2 linked regions of the Sus scrofa genome follow. Each later gene encodes a partner of the first gene's protein in a complex. Links are inferred from orthologs where the notes say so. Each region holds a gene or a part of one and is shown on either strand. Other genes may lie near its edges. The genes, in order: ARFIP2 and ARL1.

Region 1 (15,409 bases):
CCTGGGGTTTCTCTGGAACAGATGAAGCCTGAGGGGTCAAGTCCTCAAAGCCAAGGAGTCCTTTCGGTAAGCCTGGCAGGGACCACCTCTGAGGGCCAGACTGAGTAGGTGACTGAACCATTCCATGAGCTGATCAACCCATCAGACCATCCAACTTCCCAGCTCTCCAGATAAGGCCCTTCAGGTGGTCACTAGAGACACACCGCTGAAGTGGACACGCTCCCGGTCCATCACAAGGCCTCAGGCAAGGGTGGGAAACAGACACGGAAATACATGACGACAAAGTGATAGGCGGCGTGGTATCAACGCATTCAAACTGCTACGATGGTGAAGAGAAGGAAGCGCCTCACTCTGAAGGTGGTGGAGGAGGATAAAGAAGGCTTGCAGAGGAGTTCCCGCTGCAGTGCAGTGCACGAGCATCCGACAGGGGTGGCTCAGGCAGCTGCAGAGGCGCAGGTTGGATCTCCCACCTGGTGCAGTGGGTTAAAGGATCCAGTGTCACTGCAGCTGCCGCACAGGTAGCACATGTGGCTAGGTTCAATCCCTGGCCCCAGACCTTTCACATGTCTCGGGTGTGGTGAGCAAGAAAGAAGGAAGGAAGGGAGGGAGGGAGAGAGAAGGAAGGAAGGAAGGAAGGAAGGAAGGGAAAAAAGAAGGCTTGCAGAAGAAGGAATATATGATCTGGCTCTTGGGGTACAAATAGGAATGTCTTAGGTACCTTGGGAAGAGTGAGTAAGGAACAGAAGCATGAAAACTTAAGACACATGGACCAGCTGGGCAAGAGCGCAGGACTCAAAAGAGCAGAGGCTGTACGTGATGCTATCACAACCCACTCGAGGCAAGTTTCTCACTGACCTCTCTGGCTGCCCCTTCCCCGGCCGCTCCTTATGTGTCTGGTTCCTCGGGGCTTCGATCTAGGGCCTCCTGCCCCCTCACTTCCATACACCGCCTGGGAAATCTCGCCTCTCCCTGGTTTCGGTTACCGTCCACTCGCTCATGACCCCCACAGCCTTATCTCCTGTGCAGAAAACTTTCTTGAACCCAGGCCTGTATAGCCAGCTGTACCTTGGACAGGGGTTCTGCTAGAGACTAGCCTAAAATGGAATTCACTTTCCCCTGAGCTACTCTTCCGGCTGTAGCTCTCATTTCAACAAAAGGCAACACTATCCACCGAGTCACACCAGCCGGAACCCCGTGCATCTTCTCATTTCCTCCTCTTCCTCCATCTTTCAGGTTCGAGCTCTGACTCTGTCTGGCCCTAACAGGTGTCTAGGTAAAAAGCTCAGGAGATCCGGGAGCTAGTCCTGACTCTTGCTACTTTTCATGAACGTAAGGGAGGACTCCGGGCAAGACCCTCCTCCAGCCCCTCGCTTTGTAAACTGGGGGGAGGGCACGTTTTCATCCCCAAACCTGAGATTCCCAAGGTTCTCTCTGTCCAGGTGAAGATTAAATCCAGTCTTGTACCACCTTGGGTATTTGATTGCTGGTTTCCAAGGAAAGGCTAGGTGTGTTAGGGAGCGGCTGCAGTTGTTTCCTGCCCCCCTTGCAAGATAAACGTTTGCTGGGTTTAGGGCACCCATGCCACTCCCTCAGGCACATTCTGCCCTAGCCATATGGTTTGGCTCTGTTATTCTGAACACAGGCTGTACTCTCCCAACGACGGGCCTTTGCTCAAGCTCTTCTCTCAGCAAGAATACCATTGTCCCCTAAGCGGCTGAGGCAGCACCTGGCACACAGAGGGTGCTCAGTATATGCTGGTGACAGGAGAGCCATGTTTAAATCACTGCAGTTCCTTCTCACCAGACAGAGAGGCAAAATCAAAGGCAGTAACAAGACAAGGGAACAAAGTTCCAAGGAAAAAGCCCTCCACTTCACACAAAGAAGCTTTCCCGTAGCAGAAGGTGGTAAGTGCTCTGTCACTGGAGGCATGCAAGCCAAGAGAGGCAGGGCACCTGTCAGGCCTGCAGCTCTGATTCCAGTTCTGCAGCAAATCAGAGCCCTGCTTCAGGGGATGAATGGGCACTGATGAGCTGGACGGACAGGCGAGGAGAGACCTGTGCAAAAGACCTCTGCACCTGTTCCAACCTCCCAGATCTCATCTTGCTACCAGGGCCAGCCCTGGGTTTGCTTTCCACATCAGAGACCCCCACGCCAGGAGCGAGCCCAGAGCCGGCCTTCAGCGGACTGACCTCCCTGGGATGCAGCCTGCCCCTCCGACCTGCAACCATCTGTCCCTGCAGGTTTGCAGCCCATGAGCTGGAGCCAAGTCCAGAAGGGAGGAGGCCAGGACCAGGGAGGGGCCTGGGGTCCTCCAGGCGGGCCCAGGCTGCAGGGGAAACAGAAGGGTCCTTTCCTGCAAGAAACAGCCTCCGGAGGAGGCTTCCTGTCCAGGGGCCAGTGCGAGAGGAGAAAAGGGTGTCCCCTAGAGCCCCCGGGGGGCCGCTAGGTACCTGAGGAGGATGGAGGGGGTGGCAAGGGCTGGAAGAGTCTGCACCAGCGAGAAAGGAGCCCGCGGACGAGCTGGGCCACAAGACTCCAGAGTCCCACTCCGCAACCCCACCCGCGCCCCCACCCCCCGCCCATCCTCGACCGCAGCACTCGACCCCCTCCGCCAACATACACACGCTCCCAAACCCCGAGCTGCTCCAAGGATCCATCACCCATCCACCCGCGCCTCCCCCCCAAACATGGACCTCACGTGAGCAGCCACAGCCCGAAGAATCCCCCCACTGCTCTCACAGACAGGGACACGCCTCACGTGGACAGAGGCAGGCACAGCTCTGGGAAAGCATCTGTGCCCCCACCCACAGACACTCGGACAGACCCCGCCGCTCGCACCCGGACCGGGGCCGGGCAGATGGGGATACCAACGCCCCCCGGGGGGCCGCCCGTCGCACTCACCGCGGCCAGGCAGGATGGGAGGGCCGAGGCCCGGCTGCGGCCACTCCGAGGGGCCCGCGGCGCTGCCCCTGCTGCCAGCGCCCGTCCGCCCGGCCCTGCCCGCGGCGCCGCCCCACGTCCCGCGCCTCCGCCTGTCCCCGCGCCGGCGCCGCCGCCGGACCAGCCGCACAGGCCGGAGGGAGGGGCCGGGGCGGGGCTGCGGACCAGCCGGGGGAGGGGGCGGCGGGGACCCACGCCCCGCCCACGCCCCGCCCACCGCCGCGGAGGCCCCGCCCGCCCCGCTCCCCGACCCCGGCGGAGACTCCCGCAGATGTTGCCTCCGCGATCCGGCTGGGGAGCCCGTGAGGCGGCGCGCGGAGCCCGGATCCTCGATCCCCGCTCCCCGCTCCCCGCCAGCCGCTTCGTGCTCCCGACAGTTCCAGGGACGGGCGGCAGCGCAGGTCTCAGGGGCTCCGTCCAGAAAAGGCAGCTGGGCAGCGGGGGTTTCGGACGCTGGGAGCCGGTAAGGGCTGCCTCGGGGAGGGGCCCTTCCAGGCTTCCCCGGCGGGCTCCTGCGGACTATGCTGGCGTGGTCTCTGCTGGGCGGAGGACCCGGGCGTCTGTGCCTCGGCCCAGACCTCGGGGCGGCGGAAGGGCCCCAAGGTGGAAGGGCAGCACCCAGAGCTCTGGGAGAAGCGGCCGACGGGTACACAGGTGCGGGGCTCTGCCTCCAGAGCCTCCTCCTGAGGAAATTATGGTTCAGGCCCTCCAGCGACTGCCTCCCACCCTCCAAAGACCAGAGCAATTCTCAGAATCGTCGCACTGTGGAAAAGCAGCCCCGGTGGAAAATAATCAAAAAGTACAATAACAGTTAACAGCGCCTGAGTGCTTATTGTGTGCCAGACACATAACGAATCACTTTGCATATATTACCCTTCATACTCTTCATCTTAATAGGTGGCTTCTTTTATTAGCTGGGTTTTGCAACGGAAAGAACTGAGGGCCCGTGGCTCCCCAGACATTAACCCTGATCAGCCAGCTAGAAAGTGCTGGAACCAGGCCTTGAGCTCTGCCTGAGGGCCTGCCTCCAGTCAGGCCGGGCTTCAGCACCTTTCAGGCTGAAAAATCTCCAGCGGCCTTAAAGTGGAGGGGCTTGTGTATGGACCAGCCCCCTGACTAAGCCACCGCCAGAGGCCTGCAGCCTCCAGAGGGAGAGGAGGGTGCTGCCAGGTTCTGGAGCTACCTGGACCCCGACTAAATCGGTGCTGTCAGGAGCTTTCCTTGCCTCACACAAGGGTCAGGTTTGGGCTCAACAGCGGGATGGCAGTGGCTCTGGAAGCTGCCTTGACCTCTCACCCGCCTTAGTGCCGGGCCCAGCACGGGTGCTCTGGTGCTTGCGAATGAGCCTCAGACGGAGTTCATGTTTGCTGTAGAAGTGGGGGCCAGGGCTACACAACATGAGGGGACCCGAGACTTCTCCCGATAAGGCTTCACAGCCTGAAAAGGCCTGGCACGACCTACTACCTCTGTAGTCATCCCCTGGCCACTCCCCTTCACTTCCCATTCCAAGCTGAATTCCTTCCAGTTCCTACTCCGAGCCTTCACCTGGGTTGGTCTCTGCCTAGAATGCTCTTCCCCATACCCTTCACCTGGCTGCCAGGTCTCCGCTTTCAGGCGGACACCCCCAAGGCCCCCGTCTAGACCAGACACCCTCCTCTGAGCTTCAGGACCTGGCAGCTCTCACTGTGTCTTAGTTGCCTGGTTACATGCCTCTATCCCCCACTAGGCCATAAGCACTGTGGGCAGGGACTGTGTTTTATTCCCTGATGTTTCCCCAGGGTCTAGCGCAGTGCCTGGCAAATAAAAGCACTCAGTGAGTATTTGCCGTATGAATGGATGGATGATGGAGGTCAGGGGCCCAACTCCTCGGGGCCCGGTGTTTTAAGATCCATTGCTGTCTCGGTGCTAGCCTAACGGGCAAATAAAGCCTCCTACTGGGACTCGGGAGGGAGCGGGCCCTCGGACTCTTTCTGATGCTCGTGACTTGAGCTGTCTGGCCCCAGCTCCCCTGAATTGACGGGACTGGGCCACCGTTAGACTGAGCGCTTCTCCACCCAGACCACCCGCCTAGAGTCCCCCACAAACTGGCTGCACTGGGCCTGCTTTTATGAAAGGTTTATTCCTAGTGCTAGGTCCCCATCTTCCAGGGCTCTAAGCACAATTAAACTGGGTGGGGAGGTGAGGGGAGACCCATTCAGATACAGGGCCGGAAAGAGGGCTCCCCCATCCCCACCCCTTTGGTCCCAGTCCCCTTCTCTGCAATGGGCACGCATCGAGGAGGGACAAAGGGTACTGGAGGCAACATCATTGGCCCAGGGGAGCCTGAGAAGAGCTGCCATTGGCTGACAGGGCCTTTTGAGGCCCTGCCATTGGTCAGGGGGCACCCCCCAGGAGCTGGGGATCGGCCTGAGGAGTGATGCCGTTGGCCAGGGAGTGGTTTTGTCACAGCCTTTGGCTGTGGAGTGGAAGGAAAAGATCTGGGAATGAAGCCCAGGGGCCAGGAAGTACAGAACAGGGTAGCAGCCGCTGGGCCTGCAAGCCCCTCCCTACCCACAGCAGTGTGGGTAAAACTGGCGTCAGGCCCCAGCCAGGGAAAGGGAACCCAAGCCAGAGGGCAGGTGGCAAGGGATGTCCCAGGTCCAAATCTCCCCCACCCTGGGCCTGCCCCCTCAATGTCCTTCTTGATGGCCAGGCTGGGCTGGAGCGGCTCACTGCTCCTCTAGCCAGGAGGGCTTCTCAGCGCCCGGAGGCCGCAGCTTGATGTTGAACTGCTGCAGGGTCTGCTCCAGCTGTTTCTGGTTCCCCGCAAAGTAGGCCGACACAGCGTTGTGGAAGAGCAGCAGCTGCTTGTGCATCACCTTGATCTGGGGGCCCAGTAAGGTCACCGAGACTGGGCTCACCCGCCCCCAAGGGGCTGTAAGCCTGAGCCTGGACCGGGGCGGGGGGGGGGGGGGACGTGGACTCCGCGCCCAGGGTGCTTTAGAAGTGGGGGCCGAGCTTCGACAAGGGACTCAAAGAGTAAGAGCCACTCTGCTAGGAGAAACCTGGCTTGACTGGCCGGGCCTAGGGGGCTCTGGCATCCCAGCTCCAGGGCTGATTTTTTTCCCAATTTTGTTCCTGGACTGGCAGCCACATCGTCCACTAGAAAAGGGCTGGGGATCAGGGGGAGGGTGCTAGGAGGGGTCCAGGGGTTGAGTGGGCTGGGGGAAGACCCCACTCCTTAGCCAGGTTACACTTTCATTCAACGATGGGCCGGTCTTTGGGGGGAGGGGGGCTGGGTCAAAGAGGGAGGGGGGGCTGGGTCAAAGGAGTGGGGTTAGCACCTTGTTTTCTTCCAGGAACTTGAGCTTGATGGCCACATCTCCCCGCAGCTTCTCGTATTTGTCCCGATGGGCCTGGAAAGTGGCCTGGGCACTCTCGAGTCGACCACGCGTCCCTGCATCGCGGGGGCCTAGGCTCAGCTCCTCTAGGTCTGTCCGGTAGGCATCGTATTCCAGCCTGAGGAGGGGGTGAGAGAGGCTGGTCTCCACCATCCATCCTTTCCCTTCTCCGTGCTCGTGCCCCTAAAGCTCAGACTTCCGCTCATGCCGGCCACCTCCCCAACCCCTGGGCCCTGCCAGTGCCCACACCTGGCAGCCTCATACTGTTTGACAGTCATGAGCGTGTCTTCCATGGTCTTGGTCACCAACGTGTTGATGCTGGAGACAAAGAAGTTCACGGCCCCCAGCAGTGTCTCCCCGTTTTTGCACAGCAGCTTCTGCGTCTCGGCGTTGTAGCCAAATTCCTCCTGAGGGCAGAAGGCAGGGACCGGCCTTGAGCAACGGCCTCCACCTGACCAGAGCTGCGGGGCCCTTCCTGCCCTCCTTCCCCCGGAGGAAACAGCCACTGAACTGGAGCCACCCAGGGCGGCCTCCAGCAAGGCTCTCTTAGCCAGAAGGGTCGTGGGCCCCCCCTGGGGATGCCTAGGGCAGGAACGTGGGAGCGGGGCTCTCGGAGTTCACGGGACTGGAAGAGGGCAAGCCAGTGCAGCAGGCAAGGGAGCGGCTCCGATGAGGCTGGGCACCGAAGGCATTCTCGCCGAGGCCGAGAAGGGCTATTTGCGAGGCACCTAGTGTGCCGCCTCCCCCACCCCCTCCGACTTCTGGACCTCCGTACAAACCCTTAGGCTGCCTCCACTGGTGAGTGCTGCTGGGGGCGGGGCTGGGCCCACCCTGGAGGGGTTCTCCCTCTGGGCTGCAGGAGGGAGGGAGGAGGGAGGCTGAGGGGTGACTGCCTGGGAGGGCCCCGGGCCCAGGCCCCCCTCCCCCTCTGGCCTGCCCAAGGCACCTGAAGCTCTGGGGACTTCTGGCTGAGGTCAGCAAAGGCATCCCCCAGTGCATGCTGGGTCTGCAGCAGGCTGTAGAGGTGGGCTGTCAGGGCCCGGCCCAGCTGCAGGACACTCTCATACTTGCGCTTCGTCTCACGCAGCAGCTCAATTTGCAGCTCTAGCTCCAGGTCCACAGTCCGGGAGCCTCGGCCAAACCGCTCTGATAACAGCTGCTTTGTGCACTGAGTGGGAAGTGGGGGAACAGGTCAGAGACCCTGGCGCCCGGCCCTGCCCCGCAGCAAGTGTCTACCCCGGCGTCCCCAGACTCCAAGTCTCAGCCCGAGATGATGGGACAGGAGGATCCGCAAGATGGGGAAGAGGTACCCGGGGGAGCTCAGGGGGCGGAGGAGGTGCGTGAATCCCACCTTATACGTGTTGATGCCCCATTTCTTGACGATGTCGAACTTCTCTCCAGCGATGCCCCGGGCCACCTCATCCCCGGGGCCAGCAGGAGGGGCGCTGTGAGATGGATGGCGGCCAGACCCTAAAGGACCAAGTTCTCTGACACCAGCCTCTCTCAGACACAATCCGACGCCTCTGTGGTTCCACCCACACTTCCCTCCCAGCACATGAAAATGACGCCCCGGAAGGAGCAGGGCTGGAGACTCACTAGGAGGAATTCATGCCTTGGACCCTGAGACCCAATCCCAACATACACCTGGCCTCCTTTTGACGTGGAGGTGAGGACTGGAAAGGGAGGTGGGAGGGGTTGCTCGTGTGCAGGGGCAGAGGAAACAGCGGAGACTAGGCTGAGAATGGGGTCGCTGACCATGGCTGGGCGCCCCTCGAACCGAACACCTGGCTGACATTCCCATGTGGATCCCAGTCACTGCGAGATTCAGGGCTGCTTGTTCCTCTAAATAGCAGAGTCTAACGTAAGACTCTGATAAGCCTCTCAAAGCTCCAAATCAGATTCAAGCTCCAGAGCAGGGGAGGCCTGGTGAACAGAGTTCTCTGCCTGACTCAGGTAGTGACGGCAGAGAAGGGACAAGTGGGCATATCTGAGGGACAAAGTGGCAAGTGGAGGCAGATGGACACCCCTGGGAACGGGCCTTGGGCTGAGATGCCCGCGGGTTCATCCTGGCAGAGGTTCCCACGAGCTCCAGACATGATTCACGCCTTCTTAGACGTATCCTATGCCCCCTGGAGCCAGTCCTCTTCCCCTCTCCACTCAATGCCCTATCCTGCTCTGATCATTCATACCTGTGGGGATGAGTCCATCACCAGAGCCCCCATAGCCACCAGACACAATGCTGGTTTCATTGAGGTTGGGTCCTGACACCATCACCTGCTGGAGGTCCTATAGGCCAGAGAAGAGGGGGGCTTCAGGAACATATGGGCAGCTGAAGCATTTTGGGGGTGAAAACAAGCTTGGATTGAAGCATCATAGAGAGAGCACACAAGGGAAGTCTGCACAGAATCAGAACAAAGATTGGTAAAAAGACTGAAGGAAATCAGGTGAGTTGGGGGAAGGCTACTGGAAGAAGGAGAGAGCTCAGGGTTTAAGAGTTGGGATTCCTCAACTGAAACAATGTGAAGAATCAAACAGAAGCACCTGCTCCAGCCCATCATCCTCAGGAAGCTGCCCCGCGTCACCATTCCCGTGGATGGGGATCTCCATTGTGGCTGCCTTCCCTAGGATCCCGTCCGTCATGGCGAGCGAAGGGACTGGAGTCAAAGTCTCCACCCCAGCGCCCTGCAAAGCCCAACACAGACAGTTCTGGAAACGGGCCAGTTCTCCGAAGAGGAAGGTCTCCCCTGCCCTTGCAGAGGCCGTCCCGGGGCTTCAGTGTGGTGGGGTCTGCCCACCACTCTTCCCTCGGGGCTTTGTCTTTCTCCCTTCCAAGGTGCAAAGTTTTACACACAGGCACCCAGGCCTCAGGTGTGCCTGACCAGAGGTCATGTTCTCATGACCCCCCCACCCCCACCCCCCCAGCAGTCCAGGGATCATTCATGCATTCAGTCCTTCCACAGACATTTAATGAGTGCCTACTACATGCCACGCACTATTTGAGGCAATGGAGAGAAAGCCTGTGCTCTCAAGCAGCTTATCCCCACGCAGGTATTCCTCCTCATCAGGAGACAATCCCTTTCCCAGCGCTCAGGTGCCTATCCCCGTTCAGGTATGTTCGCCATTGTTTGGCCTTTCACACTCCTCTAATGTCTCCTCCTCTTTCCTGCAGGTGGTCTCCCCCTCCTCCATCCCATGCACCCCCTCTTCCTGCCCCCACCCCCGCCCCAGGCCTTAGTTGAATCAGTTGGTGTAAGTTCCCGACCCCGGGGAAAAGTCCCTTTGCCCCAGGACATAGGGAGGTGATCCCTTCCAAAGTCAGTTAGGTCTCCCCAGGTGTGTGAGTCTCCGCCCTCCCCCCATACACCTGGGCGTCAGGTGTGTCCTCATCCTTTCCCAGGGCTCAGAAGCATCTTGCCCTCAGGTCAGGTTCGTGCGTTCACCTTGCCCTCGCCCATGCACGTCCCTCTCACCTCGGGCCGGGCCGCTCTTCCCCTCAGGGCGCCAGGCCCGGGCCGCGCGGGGATCTCGGGATCCAGTTCCCGTCGCGATCCTAGCAGCAGGTCAGGGACTCGGCGGAAGTGACGTCCTCTCCCGGGCAGAAGAAGCCGGCCACGTAGCCGATTATGAGGGCGGAAGTGACGTCGCGGGGAGGTGGGCGGGCGCTCCTTGAGCCAACCCCTCTGCCCCTGGGGAGCCATTGAGGTCACTTCCGGGGCGTTCCCTAGAAGCTGTAACGGAAGTGACGTAGGTTGTGCGCCGGCGGCGTGATGGAACAGCAACAGCAGCAGCAGCAGCAGCTGAGAAACGTGAGTGGGAGCTAAGTCGCTTAAGGGCCCTGCATCCAGCTAGCATCCCTGTTCGCATGGCGGAAACCCCAGAGAGCCAGGCATCCAAGGGCTGGGAACCACGGGCCGTGGTACACGGTCCTGGGAAAGCGCCGGCAGCGCGGCCTTGAGTTGAGACGTGGCCCCCTCTTCGCTGAGTTCCTTGTCCCCCTTCCTCCCCAGTTGCGGGACTTCCTGTTGGTCTACAATCGGATGACGGAACTCTGCTTCCAGCGCTGCGTGCCCAGCCTGCATCACCGAGCTCTGGATGCCGAGGAGGTTAGGTGGGGGAACTGAGTAGGGAAGTGCTCCTCGAGCCTCAGAGCTAACCGTGCACTGCTTCCCTCTCCCGTCAATTCCCCTACGTCCGGCCCTGGCTTCCCACGACCTCCGCCCTGAGGCTGGGGATGGGAAGGAGGGAAACGGACCTGACTGGACACCTTTGGCTTCTACTTCCACCCTGTCTTCCTTCCAGGAGGCCTGTCTGCACAGCTGTGCCGGGAAGCTGATCCATTCCAACCACCGCCTCATGGCCGCTTACGTGCAGCTCATGCCTGCCCTGGTACAGCGCCGCATCGCTGACTACGAGGCTGCCTCAGCTGTGCCAGGTGTTGCTGCTGAACAGCCAGAAGCCTCGCCATCTGGCAGCTAGCTGTCCTCAACGCTGAGAAGGGAGGCACTGGATGGACCCTCACGTTGAAGGAGCAGTGGACCTTGGGCAAGATGGAGCCTGTATGTAGAGAATGAGGAGTTGCCTGAGAGCTAGGTACTGTTGCTCCTTTTCCTGGAGCTAATAAACCTGCTGTAATCTGTGCGGTTGATATTCTGGGCAGGGAGAAGTTGCCTTCTGTGTGTGGAAGGAAAACCTCAGCATTCCCAGGCACCTGGTTAAAGGAAGGTCTGTGGGTACAGCTTTAAAATTGGCAACAAGACGCTGGTTCGTGCCCAGACGGCAGAGAAAATGGGAACTCTGTCCTTAAATCTGTCTGACTTAAATGGTTCGCTTAGAGATATTAAGGACCATGGATTAAGAAACCACAGGGCTTTTAGGCACTACCTCTTCGAAAGTCAGTAGCCCCAGACAGATGAAACCTATAGGACTTCTGGGTGTTCTAGAACGTTAACCACTCCCCCAAGTTGTTACTTTCTTAATACTCCCAGAAATTGAGCAGTAAATCCTTTAAACCGAGGAGGTCTGTGTGCTCGTCTTCAGGAGCAGTCAGGGGAAAACTTGGGGAGCCATGTTCTGCACTATAGTCAGACTCAAGGGAGAGAAAACCACAGAAGTAGAGGGTGGTGGCTAAGGGGACAAAAAAAAAAAAAAAAAAAAAAAAAAAACAGAAGAAAGGAAAAGCTTTTGGATGTTACGCTCTTGTCTCACTGCTCGCCTGTGATCTCCTAATTCCAGCCCTGCCCCCTACTCTGCATTGTCCCAGCTGTGCCTATCCCATGGTTTCTAATTCCAGCCTCTCCATTCTTTCCTCATTATTGCCTCCCTTGTGGAGTTTACCTCTGTATTCAGCAGTCTCAGTGGCATGTCACTCCATCCCTGAATTTTTTTGCTGCCCTTGTGTCCTTTTTGTATCATTCCACCTGTTTTACTTATTATTATTTATTTTTTGGCCATGCCATGGCATGCAGAAGTTCCCAGGCCAGGGATCAAACTGAAGCCACAGCAGTGACAATGCCGAGTTCTTAACTGCTCGGCCACCAGGGAACTCCCAGTCCAGCTGTTTTAACTTTTCTGGTCCTCCATTCACACAGCTAGAGGAAAACACAGCTGTGTAGTGAATGCCACTAAATATTCCCAGTCCCAGCTGCAACCAAGCTCTACCAACAAATAGCATTTGGAGGGTTCCTGGTCTGTTTGCTCTTCTCATCACCATGGCAGCTGTTTACACCTTCACTGCTCTCCCTAACCCCCCACCTCACCCTCAGCTATTCCCCCTTCGGTGATCATGCTTCGTTTTTATAATGGAAATGGGAGCTTTTAGACAAAAGCTTGGTTGGTTTCCACAGTAGTACTTTTTCAAAAAACTTGAAACCACCCACAAAACAGTTGTTTTCTCCCCCTATACAGGTCAGGATATTGAATTCTTCTGGTAGCAGACTCTCAAAAGGCAGATCTGACTTTACGATATACTTAAAGTATATCTCTTTAAGGGAACTATGCTAGCCTGGTGTCGTTCTCTTTGCTATACCAGGCTGCTTCTCAAAATCGTCTCTTGAGCACCCACTTTGTATAGGTTCTGGTTTCGATATTATCCCCACTTGAGAGATGAGGAGGTAAGAATTCAGTATGTATCAGAAGCCACTGAAATCTCCTTCAGGTCTTCCCGTGAAGTGTCCCATGGACATAATGAGAGCAGTGTGACATTCGAAGCACAACTCGAGGATGAGCTTTGACAAAACTTTATCCTTTTATCACACAAATTATTACACAAGTTTCACTGGAGCAGTCAGGCCATTGCTTCCACTTTTTCTCCATTAACACCTTCCTGTCATTAGATTCCTGTCAAGCTTAAATTCTAGCCATTTGCTTGGAATAGGCTAGATGTCCTTGCTTCTCTTTGTTGGACTTGGATAAGATGAACCATCTGTGCATGCATTTAGGCTTATAAGGGAGTCAGTGTAGGGAGGATTTATATCACCGTGAATCCGTGGTTATCAACTTCAAATGGAGCCTCAGCCCCTGTAATCCCACTAGATTTTTCAAGTCAGCTTTCCTGTTCCCTGCAGTGACTATTTCAAACCAGGATTCTACCTGCACCGTCTCCTCGCTTTTTGCTGGTAGCCTTGTTTTTACCTCGTTAGCAAATGTCGGAGCTGTCAGTGGGGAGCTCCCGCAACTTCTCACAACCCCAAACCCACCTACACCTGCGTCATTCTCTCCTCTCCCTCCTGTCGAAACAGGACCGGCGTCCCTCTTAAGGCCAGTGCCTGTTGCTGCGCCTCCATCCCAGTCCTCCCTCCTGCGGAGAGTGCTGACGTTTCCCCACCTGATTCTTCTCAGCAGCGTCTTAATGAGCTAAAGAGCCCGGTGCAGCAAACAAGCCACTGCCGCCCGGGCACCATCCAGTTTGTTTCTGCTTTTACAGCTCTGACTTCTCTGCATTTCCGTTCCACCCAGTCTGTTTGGACTTCTGCAGCCTTTACTCTGTTGGAAGAGTTCTTCCCGAGGTCACCCCAGCTCACCAAGGGACCTTCACCTGCTTGGAGCCAGTGGTGGTTTCCCCAGCTTCCTTCACTTCTCAGGGGCGTCTGGTGCTGTTGCCGAGTCCCTCATCTCGCTCTCATTAGTGTCTGTGATTCCACTTGTGGTCTCACTGCTGCCACCTCTGGCCACAGCTTCTTAGCCTCCTTTGTAGGACTTGTCTCCTCCAGCCATTAAATCCAAATGTTTCTTTCTGAGTATAATCTCTCTGGAAATGTTTTATCTCCACTCCGAGCTTTAGTTACTGTGACTCAGATCTGACCCCTGAGCCATCTGATTGATATTTCTACTGAGGTGTTTCAAGAATATCCCAACCTGGCAGCTCCGAGGTAGTCCTGTGGTTGGAGTTGCGTGCTTGTACCGCTGCGGCCAGGGTTCAGTCTCTAGTCTGGAAAGAGATCCCACCTCAAGCTACTGCACACTGTGGAGCCGGGGCGGGGATCCCAACTCAGTATGTTTCTCGCTGGGCCTGGTGCTCCACCGGCTGCAGAAGCTAGAAACCTCACTCATCCCTTCACTCAGTTGCTAGATGATCAGTTTACGTTTCTAAAAATCCCTGGATTCCATCTGCTTTTCTTCATCTTCACAGTCTCCCACCAGGATTCTTGCAGTTCCTGCCCCCCCCCCCACGTCTACTTCTGCACCCTCCAGTCTATTCCGCATTCACTGGCCAGAAGATACAGACTGATGCTTAAAACCTTGCAGCAGCTTCCCATTCTTAGGATAAAAACTGACATTCTTGACCAACAAGGCCCTGTGTGATCCAGCCCCTGCCTGCCTTGATCTCGTGACTGTCAAACCCTGGACAGTTAATACTGCTTGTTGACCTGAACGGGGCCGCACCTCACTCACTCACTCACTGGCTTTGTGCTCTAACCCCCTGGGCCTTTCAGTTCCCACAACCTGTCTCACCTCTGTCGTCTCAGGGCCTTTGCACCTGCTGTTTCCTGGCTTGCAATGCTTTCCCCTGACCCTACCTACTTCTACTCATTCTTACATACTTAGTTTAAATACTCTTTCCTCAAATGACTCTTCCTGGGCTCCAGCTTCCGTAATCCCTCCTGTTTTGGGCCTGTAGCCTTGTACACTTGGTAATTATAAACCTCAGGAGGTCAGAGTCCTTGTCCTTATTGCTCACCATTGAATCCTTATCAGTGCCGGGCATGTAAAAGGGCTTAATAAATATTTGTTGAATGAACATCTTTCCGTCTCCTCCCGGCTCAGTCAAGTCATATTTACATAATAAAGGCTTTTTGTCAGAAGGGACGAGAGAACCTGCATTTAAGGCCTTCTGCCAGTGATGTAGAGGTGTTTTTCATTCAGAATTCCACTTTTTGGTATCTTTTGCCTTTCATATTCACAGATCAGTCAACACCGGAAAGGCTCCTGGTGCAGCAGATGAGCAGGTCTTGTTACAGGGGAGGTTGGGAGGTGTCGTCTTTGTCCCTGCAGTCATTTACCCAGTTAAAGGGGTTCAAAGACGAGAACGGGCTGCTGGAGCACACCTGCCCGTCCCTTTCCCTACTAACCAAGAGCGATTCTTGAATCCTCTTAACCGTCGTGGTCGGCTCCCGAAAGCCTCGCGAAGCCTTCTAACTCCTCAGCCTCGCCTCTGAGGCTTTCTCTGGTCAGGACCCAGATGACTGCTCGGGCCTCATCTTCAACCCTGTTTCCTCGGTGTTTGATTCTCTTAGCCTTGGTTATAAAAGAATCAATCTGTTTGTGGTGTTCAGACACATCCTCTAATTCCAGGCTCTTTTTTTCCCGTGTCTGGGTATGCCCCACATGCCTCCATATATTTACACGCTTCATAAATACTTGGGTGGCTGCTTTGACCAACACCGTTAAGCTCCACAGGTCAGAGGTGAACGGGGAAGAGGCCGTCCTTGTTCTCTCGGAGCTGGACGTGGATGCGGTGAAGGTCGGTAGAGAACAGCTGGGATGAAGGCCACGGAGGAGGAGTGAGCGCTGTCCCGGGATCAGACGCGACTGCTGACTTCCCTGTGAGCCGTGAAGCACAGCCTCCCTGAGGGAGTGATTCTGCAGCTGCG
Region 2 (14,737 bases), on another chromosome or scaffold:
TACCCAGGCCATATAACAAATAGCTATGAATCAACAAAAATAATACTGCGGAGAAAATAGCAAAAGAAATAGGCATTGCACAGAAGAAATATAAATAGCCCTTAAACCTTAACATTTCGCTACTATTCTATACCAGTTCTTAAATATTAAAGTACTTATACTCGTTAGTAAGTAGTCACTACCCTGACCCCCAAGTGCCTCCCTAGACTCCACATCTCCCCACCCCAGAAATTTAAGGATTAACACCCGGACTTACTAGGGGTTTTCCTGCATCAGCTATGTTTAGTTGCTAAATATTTTTAGTCACTTCTGTATTCAACCTCATTAATAATGAGGAAAATGCAGATTAACATCAGAATGAAATTCCACTTTCAACCCTTCAGATTAATAAGGCTGACAATACCAAGTGGTGGCAAGCATGGTAGAGAGGGAACTCGAATAAATCACTGGAAAATAACCTGGCATTATCTTGTTCAACCATATGCTATCTTTTGCCTCTTTTCTACACTTGATGTGGAAGCATATTCTTTAGTGCCCAATGTATGTGGAAGGGAGAGGGGAGGAAGAATCCATCCTATACGTTTTATTTAACCTTCACAGTCTTCCTGAGAGCTTCCTAAAACTTATTTTACAGATGAGGAATCTTATCTCATATTAAATTATCTACCTAAGGGTGACATAGGTTGTAAGTGGCAAAGTCAAGATTCAAACCCGACTGAAAGCCTATGCTGTTAATAATTGTAATTATGGGGTTAGACTACTATAGCATATGACATAGTAATCAAGTGTCCAAACACTCATGAACTTCAGCATCTATGCTTTGATGTAGTCTTGTCTCAAACAGGAGTTCTCACACTTCCAAGGAGTTTGTAATGTGTCAAAGGATAAACACAGGGCATCTTGGAAGGGCAGACTCAATTCTAAGTGACTTAAAGCGTATGTACTGCTTTTATAAAAGTTTTTAGATCAAAAAAACAAAAGTTAATACAAAGGCAAAAATCAGAAAGAATACATCTCTCAAGTATATTGAGCACAGCTTTGTTTTCATCGGTAAATATTTATTGAGTGCCTAGTATGTGCCCGGTGCACCATACTAGATGCAAGGGACTCTAACAGTAAATAAGGTGTGGTCCCTGCCCTCAAGGAGCTTACATTTCCACAATTTAAAGTGCATCTCAGGTATCCTGATACAGAATTCCACCAGTCTCAATTTCTCATTTTTTTCTATAGATCACATGACACTGCACAACTACCAACCAGAGTTATAAAATAGAATGTTAGAGCTAAAAGAAACCTCTGATACCATTTGTCCAAAACAAAAACAAAAACTGATGGAATGGCCCTTTGTGCCTAGAACTCATGCGTTCTGATTTCTGGTTTGGTGCTTTTCCCATTTTCAGGCTTCCCACAAAACAATACTCGTAGATTTTTATAAGTAAGAACTTCAAACTCCTGTGACGTACCTGTACAATTGTTTCCTGCTAGACAAATTCTTTATAATTCATAGCATATTAAAATAAGTGTATGCCCTATGTATTTACCCCAGCCGGTTCACTGTAACAAACCAGAGGGATCAGAATCATCCAACTGCTCGCCTTTGGTGCCAGGGCTGCACCTCCCCATCCTCCACTTTCACAGTGCTCCTCAACTACTTGGGAGTACTTAGCCCAGCACTAGTGGGCCACTGGCCGGAAAGGGACCCAAGTATAAATTACAGATGTACTCTTTTCCTAGCTAACAGATACACACCCAACCCAACCATGAACATATTCTGAGGTGCCGTAATGCGCCACGCACCATACTCGTTTCTAAATATATAAATATGAATAAGTCTGTCCCTCAGGAGTGCCTTGGAAACTATGAACCAATGTTTAGTTGTATGCTCAGTAATATTAGGTGCACTGGGAACACTCGTCCCTAGAGAAAGGTCTCCAAAAAATATTTCCAAGAAAACATAATATTAGGATAGGGTCCTGGGGGATAAGAGTACAAGTCCCACGGGTGAAGAGCTGAATGACCAAAAGTGAAGGAAAGTGGCCAGAGGCCAACATCTGGAAGGACAATGGCAGGGACAGGAAATGAACCACTAGTTTTCCTGAGACCTGAGGGGCACAATGGTATTAAGTTCTCTTTACTGGCAACTAATTTTTTAAATACTGCTTGTCCAAATTAAAAAATGAAAAAGGTTCCCCCTAATTTTAGTAATTACTAAGGACTCTATTTACCTGCCATGTTGTAGCCAATCCTGCGGCAGACTGGGTAGTTTGAAAAGTTCCCTTAAAACTTTTGTTCAATTGTTTTTGATACCTAGCAGCAGTAAGCATAAATTTAAACTTCAGGAGTACTCAATTTCTCCTTATAGAACCAAAAAGAGCTTGACTTTTCACCAAACTTAAAGGTCCAATTACAGGTAGATAAAAGAAATCAAAAAGACATACTTTATAATGCTTCTTAAAATAGCTCTTTAAAAAAAAAATCCTTTAATGTGAAACTTTCTTTAGTATGTTGTGAATTCCATCAAATACAACCATTTAGGACTATTTTTACTACCTCCACTAGTAAGGGGAAATACATTTATAGACTTTATTTTGAATGTGCCGTGTCTACTTCAATTAGCATAAATTTTAATATAAGGAGCTCTGTTGATAATGTTGGCATGATGTAGTTTATGGGACAAGCTTCTGACCCTGAAGTCTCATCTGAGACTCACCTCACTAGCAGGTAACCTTGGACAAGCCTATCAGAACCCTGGGTCCACATCTATAAAGATGAAGACATTACATCCTGTCCTAGCTTCGTAGATCCATTATCTGTAAAACTGTCCCAATAACTATAGATACTAAAAAATGATAATTACAGATAAGTCAGTGAAGTTAACCACCAGAATAATCACTTTAACTCATGCCTATAACCGAAAGCTTTTAAATAAAGCAGCTTAAATAAAGTGGTCATTAAGCAAATGAAGACTAAAATTACCCACACTAGGTTCTTAGCCTACTCTATGGCGCCTAATCTTTGGAAAACCTTTTAAATTCATTTTAGGGGGGAACATCTGAGTCAAGATATTTATTAGTGTTAATACAAACAAGCTGCAACCACTAATTTAAAAATTGGAAGGTTTTTTCCTCAATAAGTACATTCTTTAATGGAACTGTATCTAAATAAGAATTCCATACAAATAAACTATATACCTTAACACTAGAAAGCAAGGAAGGAGTATTTTACATTATACAGAACAGACTTTCAGTGGGTTCAATCACGATGAGTTACCCTTCCAACCAGATACTTATTTGTTATATTTATTACAAATGTTGCAGTCAGTTCGGTATATGCCAGCGATCATACAGTTTTAACATTTTGTAGTGTGAAGCACACTTAGCTGTTTCCAAAGGGATATGTGATGTGGTCTTCATTTCAGAGGAACAGAAGTGACTGAATTATTGTCTGCTCTTTAATGTTTCAACTAACCTGTGAAGAGAAAAATGAAGTTCTATAACATTAACTTCAAATTTTTAGGTATAGGGCATGGTCATTTGTAACACAAATTTCACACTGGAAGTAGATTCCAGAAGCACTTTAAATGGGAGTTCCTGTCGTGGCTCAGTGGTTAAGGAACCCAACTAGTATTCATGAGGACATGGGTTCGATCCCTGGACTTGCTCAGTAGGTTAAGGACCTGGCGTTGCAGTGAGCTCTGGTGTAGGTCAAAGACATGGTTTGTATCTGGCGTTGCTGTGGCTGTGGAGTAGGCCAGCCTGGGAACCTCCATATGCTTTGGGTGCGGTACTAAAAAGACAAGATAGAATAAAATAAAGTACTTTAAATGATGAAGGCTAAGATAGTTATATCAGAAGAATAAGGCGATGGACTCAATTTCCATGAGGATCTTTCTAGTTTTTCACTTTGTCTACGCTTTGAATGAATAATCAAAAAAGACCAAATATCCACTTTCCAGGCTGCTACTACTGTAGCCAGGTAAGATGTAGATAATTCAGGGAGGAAAACTAGTCTCAGTCGTCAAGGAGATGATGATCTAATGAGTAGATGCACAAACCAATTACAAGATAGTGGAACAAGTTCTATTAGGTCACTGACCTGTGACAAGGACACCTATGTGTGTGCTCAAGGCAGTGGGCATGGAGACACATCAGGGAAGGCTACTGAGAAGAGAACCTTAACTGCAAGCACAAGGAATTGGAGGGTGGGGTGAGGCAGGGGAAAGCTAGAAACAGAGCAGAGAGCTGGCTTATCTAAGTATAAAAGGTAGGTGTGGGTGAAATAAAAGCATATGTACATGAAGGCCAGTGGAAGAAAAGGCCAAAAGAACTTAATATGATAAACAGCTAGCTAAGTAATCTGAATTTCATCAAGACTAAAGGGAAATTACACATTTGTACACAGCTGCATGTACACACAAATACGCAAATGACTTCTAGAAACATGATACTTAACCACTCCATTGCCTCATCAAGGCCAGTGCCTTTGGTTGCTGAAGTTTTGAATATTTGCCATTTTCGGTCCTTCAAGGCAGGTAAGCCAAGCGAATTTGCCATCTCTGACGGAGTCATGGCCTGTTCCATGTCCTGTTTATTTGCAAACACCACTAAAATGGCTTTTCTAAGCTCTTCTTCCTAAATAAAATAGAAAATGTTTTATTGCTTCTAATCAATTTGCTTCCTTGAGTTTAGGAAAAAATGCCAAAATATCCATTACTTTAAAAGCACATTTCCTAGGTGTTCCTGTTGTGGTGCAGCAGAAATGAATCCAACTAGGAACCCCATGAGGTTGCAGGTTCGATCCCTGGCCTTGCTCAGTGGGTTAAGGATCTGGTGTCGCCATAAGCTGTGACATAGGTTGTAGACTCGGCTCGGAATCAGCGATGCTATGGCTGTGGCATAAGCCAACAGCTGCAGCTCCAATTGGACCCCTGGCCTGGGAACCTCCCTATGCTGTAGGTGCAGCCGTAAAAAGCAAAAAAATAAATAAAATAAAAGCACATTTCCTAATTATTAATATATAATGTTCATTATAATGATTTAAATTATAGAGAAGTATGAAGAAATGAAACTTCACCCATAATCCTATCTCCTGAACATGATCACTGCTTAACATTTTGGGTGTTTTCTACTGCTCTGTAATTCAGATACTTATAGTTTATTTAATAAATATATTCATATATTTAAGATCACATTTAAATATGGTTCCATACCTCCTTTAAAAAACAAACATATTGTAGATATTTTTCAAAATCATAAAAAAATTTTTTAATTAATGGCTAAATATACTCTACACTATGAATGCATGCGCCATACATGATAGAACTGTTTTCCAGTATTAGATTCTTAGTAGATTCTTTTCATTCAAGTATTAGAGAACCCAAGTGATAGAATCATTACATAGAAAGCTTTCTGCAAATCTTTATTTCCTTCATCACTGTTCTGTGAAAATGGGATCAAAGTATGAAATTTTTTCCAGGCTATTAGAGAGGTTGTAACAATTCCAACTCCACAAACAGCATATGACAGTGCCCGTCTTCAATGCAGCTTTGGCAGAACTGGACACTGTATTTCTTCACACATAGCATATCATTATATACTTATTTATTACCAGGGTACTAGAAATGCAAATGTTATTTGCAATATACTTTTCTCCCATAAACTGTAGGTTCATGCCTCTTGCTCATTTTTCTATTGATTTGCAAAAGGTATTTATATGATTAAGAACACTAATCCTAGTGTCACTAGTTATGAAACTGTGCAGTTCCCTATGTTACCCTAATTTGTATTGTTTGGCATCTGAGCTTTGGTTGTTTTTTGGTTTCTATTAATATAATCTATCACTTCTTTTGTAATTGTTTCCAATCATTTGATTCAGAAAAACCTTCCCAATTCAGAAATTTTAAACACTTATAATGATTTCCCTTTTTCTGGCCACACCCATGGCATGTGGAAGTTCCCAGGCCAGGGATCGAATCCATGTCACAGCAGTGACCCAAGCCACAGCAATGGCAATACTGGATATTTAACCCGCTGAGCCACCAGGGAACTCCCCTGATTTCCATTTTTGTATTTAGTTCTTTAATTCATTTAAAATTTGGGGGAATTCCCATTGTAGCTCAGCGGTAATGAACCTGACTAGTATCCATGAGGATACGCACTGGATCTCTGGTCTTACTCAGTGGGTTCAGGATCTGGTGTTGCCATGACCTGCGTGTAGGCTGCAGATGAGGCTCAGATGTGGCATAGCTGTGGCCAACAGCTACAGCTCCAATTCGACCCCTAGCCTGGGAACTTTCATATGCTGTGGGAATGGCCCTGAGAAAACAAGAACAAAAATAAAAATAAGTAAATAAATACACAAAATTTTTGTGTACAAAGGTAAAACAAATTGATTTTGTGCCTATAATTTTTTTTTTTTTTTGTCTTTTTAGGGCCACACCTGTGGCATATGGAGGTTTACCAGGCTAGGGACTGAATCGGAGCTACAGCTGCTGGCCTACGCCAGAGCCACAGCAATGCAGGATCCGAGCCACATCTGCAACCTACACCACAGCTCACGGCAACGCCGGATCCTTAACCCACTGAGCAAGGCCAGGGACCGAACCCACAACCTCATGGTTCCTAGTCAGATTCGTTTCCACTGCGCCACAATGGGAACTCCTGTGCCTATATATTTTAATATAGTAGTTCTGACTCCTACTCCACATGTACATTATATCATTATTTATTGATTGAATTGATTAAGTTACTTTCTAAAGAATGAATAAATTTTTTAGTCCTTTCTTCCTAAGATTATACAAGTCAAATCTTAATACCACAAAAAACCTAACAACAATCTAGCACAATTTGAGAACTGTGGAATAAAGTTAAAAATCCATTTCTTTTCTACAGTATTTTACACAATAAAAATCTATTATACCACATGATTTACATCTAAATAAAGATTTTATTTTAAAAATCTGTTATACCCAAGGCAATTAACCAGTCCCTTAAAATTCCTCATACTTTGCAGTTCCTGTTGCGGCTCAGTGGTTACGAACCCAACTAGTATCCATGAGGATTCAAGTTCATCCCTGGCCTCACTCAGTGGGTTAAGGATCCAGAGTGGCTGTGAGCTGCTGTGTAGGTCGCAGATGCAGAGTGGATCTGGCATTGCTGTGGCTGTGGTGTAGGCTGACAGCTGCAGCTCCAACTGGACCCCTAGCCTGGGAACTTCCACATGCCATGGGCACAGCTATTAAAAAAAAATAATTCCTTATACTTTAAATTTGGTCTAAGAAGTAAGAAGCTCTTATGATAAATATGATGCTATATTGTAAAAGCAATTAAGCAAAACTGTAAAACTTTAGGTCTGCAATTTCTAACTCAGAAGCTACTAAGATGTTGGTCATCCAAAAAATGAGAAGTCTGAAGTAGGTAATCAAGTGGCCTAGAATTTAACATTTAAACATTCAATGATCAGATAATCCAGAATAGTAATGTTGGTGGGAAAAAGAAATCTACTCATCTAATTTTATCAAGCAAAGGTAATTTTGTTATTAATTAAATTAATCATTCGTATATTTGAAAAGCTTTTTAACAAATGGAGGTTTTAAAACTTAGCTGATTAGTCAATGCATCCTGATTTCAGTCAGCTAGCCAATGAATTATCTTACAAACCTCAGTGAAAACAACGTACTGAGCTCTTACTTAAGAGCTGCACGTGGTTCTACACATCATGGGTACAGATGTAAAACTCAAAGTCTTTTCCATTTTAGGGTGAGAGGTATATATAATTAAACAAATATATTTTAAAATAATGGAAAGAAATGATTGGTGGTGCAAAGAATAAAGTAGGATAAGGGGTTGGAATATAAGTGAAATCCCTCTCTGCAGAATAAACATGTCAAATGAAACATGTCAAGAAGGCAGCCATGCAAAGATTTGGAAAAAGCATTCCAAGCAAGAGTAACAGGAGTTCCCACTGTGGCTCAGCAGGTTAAGAACCTAACTGTACCCATGAGGATGCAGGTTCGATTCCTGGCCTCCGTGGGTTAAGGATCTGGCGTTGCCACAAGGTATTTGTTTTTATTTCTCCAACAATATTTTTGGAATAGGAATTTGTAAGGAAGAAAATGGTACTAATCCCTGTTTTCCCTTTTTTTTGGCCCCACCCAAGGAAGGCATGCAGAAATTCCTGGGCCAGGGATGGAACCCACACCACAGCAGTGACCTGAGCCACAGTAGTGACAAGAACACCCGATCCGTTCACTAGGCTACTAGGGAACTCCTCTGTTTTCCTTTTAATTATTCCTGTATGTGACAATAAACAATGAAAACAGCAAGTAAATGTAAATTATTTCCCCACATTTTTACAAAGCTTTCTTACCTCCAACATGGCAACTAACTCTGACTTGGAAATGCCAATTCGGTCTCGGTCACAACTGTCTACTACATAAATGACTGCATCTGTGTTTGAATAATAACATCTCCAGTATGGCCTAAAGAAAATTCAGAAAGGGAGAACATATTATTATTTAAAAGAAGAAGAAACTGAGATGTTAATTTACATTCTGGGTCTTGGCAACACTGGCGTAGGGGGTATAACTCGCCAATCTTTCCCCACCCATGTAGAATCAATGCATAATGACTCACTGTTTCTGACAGACATACACCCCTCAGGTGGGACAGGATGGAAAAAATGTTCATAAATATAAATCACAGGAACAAGGAACTTCAGAATGAGTTCAGGCTTTAGGCTAAGAAAATACATTTATAATCTACAGCATCACTAAATGTACTGATAAAAAAATGTTCTACACAGACCTAATTGTTGTATCTTCTAAATCTTTAACAAGAAACTCCTTAAGAGGGATGGGTTCTTAAAAAAAATTTTAATATAATTTTTTATAGTAGACATTAAATTGATCACTGAAGACAAGTAAAAATGGCTAAAACTAGAAATAGACGCAAAAATGGTTCAAGAAATAAAATGAGTGGAAGGCAGCAGGATGTCTGGGGAATGCACTACTGATCTTTTAAGATAGTAAGTAGCCTCGTGAGGAATCGGTGACAGCCATTAAACCTTCACAGTTGCCATGTCAAGCACAGAATGATGGGCAGGAGACCTGACTTTCAGAGGGCATCTATGTTCATATTAGCCCAAATGGTGGACCTAAAAGGTATTTTCATGAAATCCAAAACAGCCTGTCTCATAGAGCAAGGGACTGACAAGAACTAAATAGAGGACCCTCTTGATTTCAAATTACCGAAGTATTTAGGTCCTGAGATATTCGTGGAAAAATTTTTCATTTAAGTGATATCTGAAAAACTAGCTTCCTTAGATTTTAATTCTTTAGTTAAAATTTTTAATTCTCAGATCTTAATTGAAAGAAGAAGGCAGTTTTACTCAATTTAGACAAGGTGGGTCCCAATAAAATTAAGAGGAAGGTATGTTTTGGTTTACTGCTATTAACCCTAAAAGAACTAATAAAGATTCAATACTGCAAAACTAAGATGGCCTTTGTACCATACCTGATACTTGTCTGTCCTCCTAAATCCCAGACTTGGAATTTAAGATTCTTGTATGTTACCGTCTCAACATTAAATCCAATGGCTGGAAGAGAAATTAGATTAGTAGTTTATGCAGATTAGTGCATTCTATCTTCAAAGCACACAGGCTGGGGCGTTCCCACTGTGGCTCAGCGTGTTAGGGACCCAACTAGTATCCATAAGGATGCGGTTTGATCCCTAGCCTTGCTCAGTGGGTTAAGTATTTGGCATTGCCACAGGCTGTGGTGTAGGTTGCAGATGTGGCTCAGATCCCATGTTGCTGTGGCTGTGGTATGGGCCAGTAACTGCAGCTCTGATTTGACCCCTAGCCTGGGAACTTCCATATGCCACAGGTGCAGCCCTAAAAAGCAAAAAAAAAAAAAAAAAAACCAAAAAAACACAAAAAAACAGTACATAATCTGAGTTTCCGAAATTAATAGTAATTGTTGAATAACATTATTAGCTGAGTAGTCTTCCATTTAAGTTAAGACAGCATGCAGTGCTACACACACACACACACACACACAGGCATTAATTAGCAAAATCAGCCCCATTTTCAGGGTATACAAGAATCTCTGCAAATATGAAATTCGTAGCTCAGTGGAAACCCTATTATGTTAAACTCCCCTTATAATACAGTACTGGCATACAAAAGTGTTCAGAAAGTTATATTTAGAAAGAACAGTTATAGACATTACCAAAAAAAAAAAAAAAAAAGGAATTTTGGTAGGTAGTCAAATAACAGGGAACAAAACCAAGAAAGCCTAGATAGATTCTAAACTTCAGTGGGTAAGGGCACAGCATGGCTCTATACTCCTTTAAGGTTCTCTGAGGCTGGCAATTTCACAGACCCTCTGAAGACTTCCCCAAGAGCTCATTTGTAGTAAGGTCACAGCGGGATGGTCAAAGGGGAGGTGTCCCGTCCCTTTCCTCTACCATCCTCCATAAGTGGAGCTCTGGCAACACATGGCTAAGGAAGGATACTACTCCACTGAAAGGAGTCTAAAAGAGGGTAGAGAGGGAGTTCCCATCGTGGCGCAGTGGTTAACGAATCCAACTAGGAACCATGAGGTTGCGGGTTCGGTCCCTGCCCTTGCTCAGTGGGTTAACGATCCGGCGTTGCCGTGAGCTGTGGTGTAGGTTGCAGACACGGCTCGGATCCCGCATTGCTGTGGCTCTGGCTAGGCCAGGGGCTACAGCTCTGATTCGACCCCTAGCCTGGGAACCTCCATATGCCGTGGGAGCGGCCCAAAGAAATAGCAAAAAAAAAGACAAAAAAAAAAAAAAGAGGGTAGAGAGGATGCTGAAAAAAACTTAGGAGCTATGTTTTATACATACACACAAACATACACAATGATCACTAAAATTTTACAAACTTAAAAAAAAAGTAAAAAAAGACAGATGTAACTAGACAATTTTTAAGATTTAAGTTTTTACTGGCAAATGATGCTTATGAGCACGTGGCAAGTAAGCTATTACAACTAAAAAAATAACTATACTGGAGTTCCCATTGTAGCTCAGTGGGTTAAGAACCCAACATGGTGTCTAGGAGGACATGGGTTCGATCCCTGGCCTCTCTCATTGTGTTAAGAATCCGGCATTGCTGCAAGCTGCAGCATAGGTCACAGATATGGCTCTGATTTGATGTTGCTGTGGCTATGGCATTGGCCTGCAGCTGCAGCTCTAATTCAAGCCCTGGCCCCGGAACTTCCATATACTGCAGGCACTGCTATAAAAAGAAAAAAACAATTACACTATAGCAAAACTAAGTGAAAAACTAAAAAGTTCATGATACCTCCCTTAGAACTGGGTAACAGTGTAATCACAATCTTCACCTCAATTAGGAACACTGTTTATGTGCAAAGGAAAAGTGTGGACAAGTATAAACCACACTCACAATCAGGCCGAAATGTAATCCACTGGGCTACGTGTACTAAAGAAGCCACCAAGACTCAACTGCAGCACAAATGGGCAATTCTGAGACATAAAAACTGAGGAAGATGAAATTTACTGAGGGTGGCAAAAAGAAGTAACAGATGACACAGAAAAGTTCCTCTTTCATAAAAGCTAGATTTCTTTTTTAATCTGGAAATTTAAATGGTATTATATACAGACGTTCCTTGAGTGACAAAGTAACTTTAAAGGCATAATTTAAATACACTTTTTGTGTGTGTGTGTGTCTTTTTAGAACTGCACCCACAGCATTTGGAGTTTCCCAGGCTGGGGGTCTAATTGGAACTGTAGCCACCAGCCTATGCCACAGCCACAGCCACAGCAATGCAGGATCTGAGCCTCGTCAGCAGCCTATACCACAGCTCATGGCAACGCCAGATACTTAACCCACTGAGCGAGGCCAGGGATCGAACCTGTATCCTCATGGATACCAGTCAGATTCGTTTCTGCTGAGCCACGACGGGAACTCCAAAAGGCATAATTCAAATATTCTTGAGTGAACTCTACAAACTTAGTTTAAGTGCACTAATTTTCTCTAAGTAAATTCAGGGCAACAATGAAAAAAGCATATAAGTAACAGGACAACATTCTTATGTAGTAAAATAGGACTGCTGAAGAACATTTTTCTAAGATATCAATTGATTTAGAGTTATTTCTGGATATGTTCAAGTACTAGATTAATTCAACACTCAGTCTCTTCAACAACTCACATCTTGAAAAGTAATCAATAGAATTGCTTAAGAGAAACTAATCTTAAATAGTTACAAATACAGGAAAAACCCTGCTTCACATGTATAATATCACTTAATAGCTATACAATTCTTTTTTTTGGCAGCACCCACAACACGTGGAAATTTCTGGGCCAGGGATCGAACATGCACCACTGTAGTAACCAGAGCCACTGCAGTGACAATGCCGGATCCTTAACGTGCTGAGTCACAAGAGAACTCCTCTATATAATTCTTTACACAGGCTTACAGAGTATTTTATATACTTGATGTACTCCCCCTCAAAGCCAATCTTCATTTTATCAATGAAAATACTGGCTCTCAATGAGATTAGGTGATATACCTCTACCCAACTTTTAAAATAGCTCTAAATGGCAAAATTCTACCACGCAAAGAGGTGCATTAATTACACTGAACTCTATAGAAAAAAAAAAAGGGTTACCGCAATCCCACTCTTGGGCATCTATTCGAACAAAACTCTACTTAAAAGAGACACATGCACCCGCATGTTCATTGCAGCACTATTCACAATAGCCAGGACATGGAAACAACCCAAATGTCCATCGACAGATGATTGGATTCGGAAGAGGTGGTATATATACACAATGGAATACTACTCAGCCATAAAAAAGGATGACATCATGCCATTTGCAGCAACATGGATGGAACTAGAGAATCTCATACTGAGTGAAATGAGCCAGAAAGACAAAGACAAATACCATAAGATATCACTTATAACTGGAATCTAATATCCAGCACAAATGAACATCTCAGAAAAGAAAATCATGGACTTGGAGAAAAGACTTGTGGCTGCCTGATGGGAGGGGGAGGGAGTGGGAGGGATCGGGAGCTTGGGCTTATCAGACACAACTTAGAATAGATTTACAAGGAGATCCTGCTGAATAGCATTGAGAACTTTGTCTAGATACTCATGTTGCAACAGAAGAAAGGGTGGGGGAAAAAATGTAATTGTAATGTATACATGTAAGGATAACCTGACCCCCTTGCTGTACAGTGGGAAAATAAAAAAATTATTAAAAAAAAACCTTATTAAAAATAGACAGCTTTATTTAAAAAAAAAAAAAGGGTTACCAACATTATGCTCATAGTAGAAGTTTACAAACCTTATCAATTACAATATACAATTATTTATTCGCAAATAAAGTTACGTTGGATGGAAACAGAAAGCCCTTATAATCAGTTTATCACACAAACACTTACTAGGAATAGTGGTTACGACTTCTCCAACCTGTAATCTGTACAAAATTGTAGTTTTTCCTGCTCCATCTAATCCCAAAATTAAAATCCTCATTTCCCGGGTTCCGAACAGACTGGAGAAAATGCTTGAGAAAAAGCCACCTTAAAAAAATAACAAAAATGAATTTCAATACCATTTTGTGAGCTATGTCCACAAAAGATTTAATCTTGCCCTTTGAAAGCTATACCAAATTAAATACTATTGTAATTCATAGGTGTATATTTTGCTCCCGTGAAATATATTATTCAACATCAAAATAGTAATTACTAATTGCTACCACATTCTAGTAGATACCAGGTGTCAGAGAGATAAAGATACACTCAAAAACAAGAGAAATATGACCACTGTCCTCATGAAGCTCACTTTCTACTGAGGAGAATGCAGCTCTCTTAGCATCATCTCCTCACTACCCCAAAGTGCAAATCAGAATGACATTAAACAATGAGGTTCTTGAACATGAAAAGTAATTATTATTGCTGTATAGCAGCAATATCATCTTAAGTACCTTCAATCATTGAGTATTCTCTGTAAGGAATAGAACTAGCACAAAATACTGAGACGAAGCCAAAAAATAAAAAAATAAAAAACTGGAGTTCCCGTCGTGGTGCAGTGGTTAACGAATCCGACTAGGAACCATGAGGTTGCGGGTTCGATCACTGCCCTTGCTCAGTGGGTTAACGATCCGGCGTTGCCGTGAGCTGTGGTGTAGGTTGCAGATGCGGCTCGGATCCTGTGTTGCCGTGGCTCTGGCGTAGGCCGGAGGCTACAGCTCCAATTCAACCCCTAGCCTGGGAACCTCCATATGCCGCGGGAGCAACCCAAGAAATAGCAAAAAGACAAAAAAAAAAAAAAAAAAACTATTTTTGATGGAAAATCATTAGAAAAATAAGAAAGCTACATTCAGTGCATTATGTAATATTACCAGAAAGCTTTTTACACACAAGGTATTGTGTAATATAAAAGCACTTGTGAACAGAGAATAGGACGGTGGTTACCAGATAGATACCCGGGAAATGGGGGAAATAGGAAAGATGTTAGTCAAAGGATATAAACTGTTTGAAGATAAATTGTGGAGACTTTTAATAAACATCATGGTGACTATAAGTAACAACAATGTATCATACACTTGAAATCTGCTAAGCAAGTAGACTGGAAGTGTTCTCATCACACACACAAAAAGGTTAACTATGTAAGGTGATGGATGTATAAATCTGCTTGATTTGGTAATCATTTCACAATGTATACCTACATCAAAACTGTATCCCTTA

What was found.
Region 2: the proteins of ARFIP2 (region 1) and ARL1 are in contact, whole or in part, in a crystal structure (PDB 4DCN), measured with the Homo sapiens proteins. The link is inferred for Sus scrofa from reciprocal best matches to the Homo sapiens genes ARFIP2 and ARL1. Residues at the interface, in NP_001363487.1 of Homo sapiens: Phe205, Thr212, Lys216, Thr217, Asp220, Asp278, Ile281, Lys282, Phe285, Leu286, Glu288, Asn289, Lys292; in NP_001168.1 of Homo sapiens: Glu17, Arg19, Gln38, Ile46, Ile49, Gly50, Phe51, Asn52, Val53, Glu54, Thr55, Gln64, Trp66, Ile74, Tyr77, Cys80, Tyr81.

Annotation. Positions count from the first base shown.
Region 1 is NC_010451.4:3,244,547-3,259,955, reverse strand, and holds ARFIP2 (arfaptin-2), read right to left. Parts: upstream 9,946-15,409; 5' UTR 9,791-9,945; intron 9,003-9,790; 5' UTR 8,961-9,002; coding exon 8,862-8,960; intron 8,607-8,861; coding exon 8,510-8,606; intron 7,791-8,509; coding exon 7,672-7,790; intron 7,489-7,671; coding exon 7,267-7,488; intron 6,728-7,266; coding exon 6,570-6,727; intron 6,439-6,569; coding exon 6,264-6,438; intron 5,805-6,263; coding exon 5,649-5,804; 3' UTR 5,040-5,648; downstream 1-5,039. Other genes in the region: TIMM10B (mitochondrial import inner membrane translocase subunit Tim10 B), read left to right, coding at 10,088-10,126, 10,328-10,423, 10,620-10,796. UniProt on the Homo sapiens protein: Plays a role in constitutive metalloproteinase (MMP) secretion from the trans Golgi network. May have important functions during vesicle biogenesis at certain cargo subdomains, which could be predominantly utilized by secreted MMPs, such as MMP7 and MMP2.
Region 2 is NC_010447.5:82,798,439-82,813,175, reverse strand, and holds the end of ARL1 (ADP-ribosylation factor-like protein 1), read right to left. Parts: intron 13,571-14,737; coding exon 13,433-13,570; intron 9,595-13,432; coding exon 9,513-9,594; intron 8,480-9,512; coding exon 8,368-8,479; intron 4,632-8,367; coding exon 4,453-4,631; intron 3,469-4,452; coding exon 3,438-3,468; 3' UTR 1,038-3,437; downstream 1-1,037. UniProt on the Homo sapiens protein: GTP-binding protein that recruits several effectors, such as golgins, arfaptins and Arf-GEFs to the trans-Golgi network, and modulates their functions at the Golgi complex.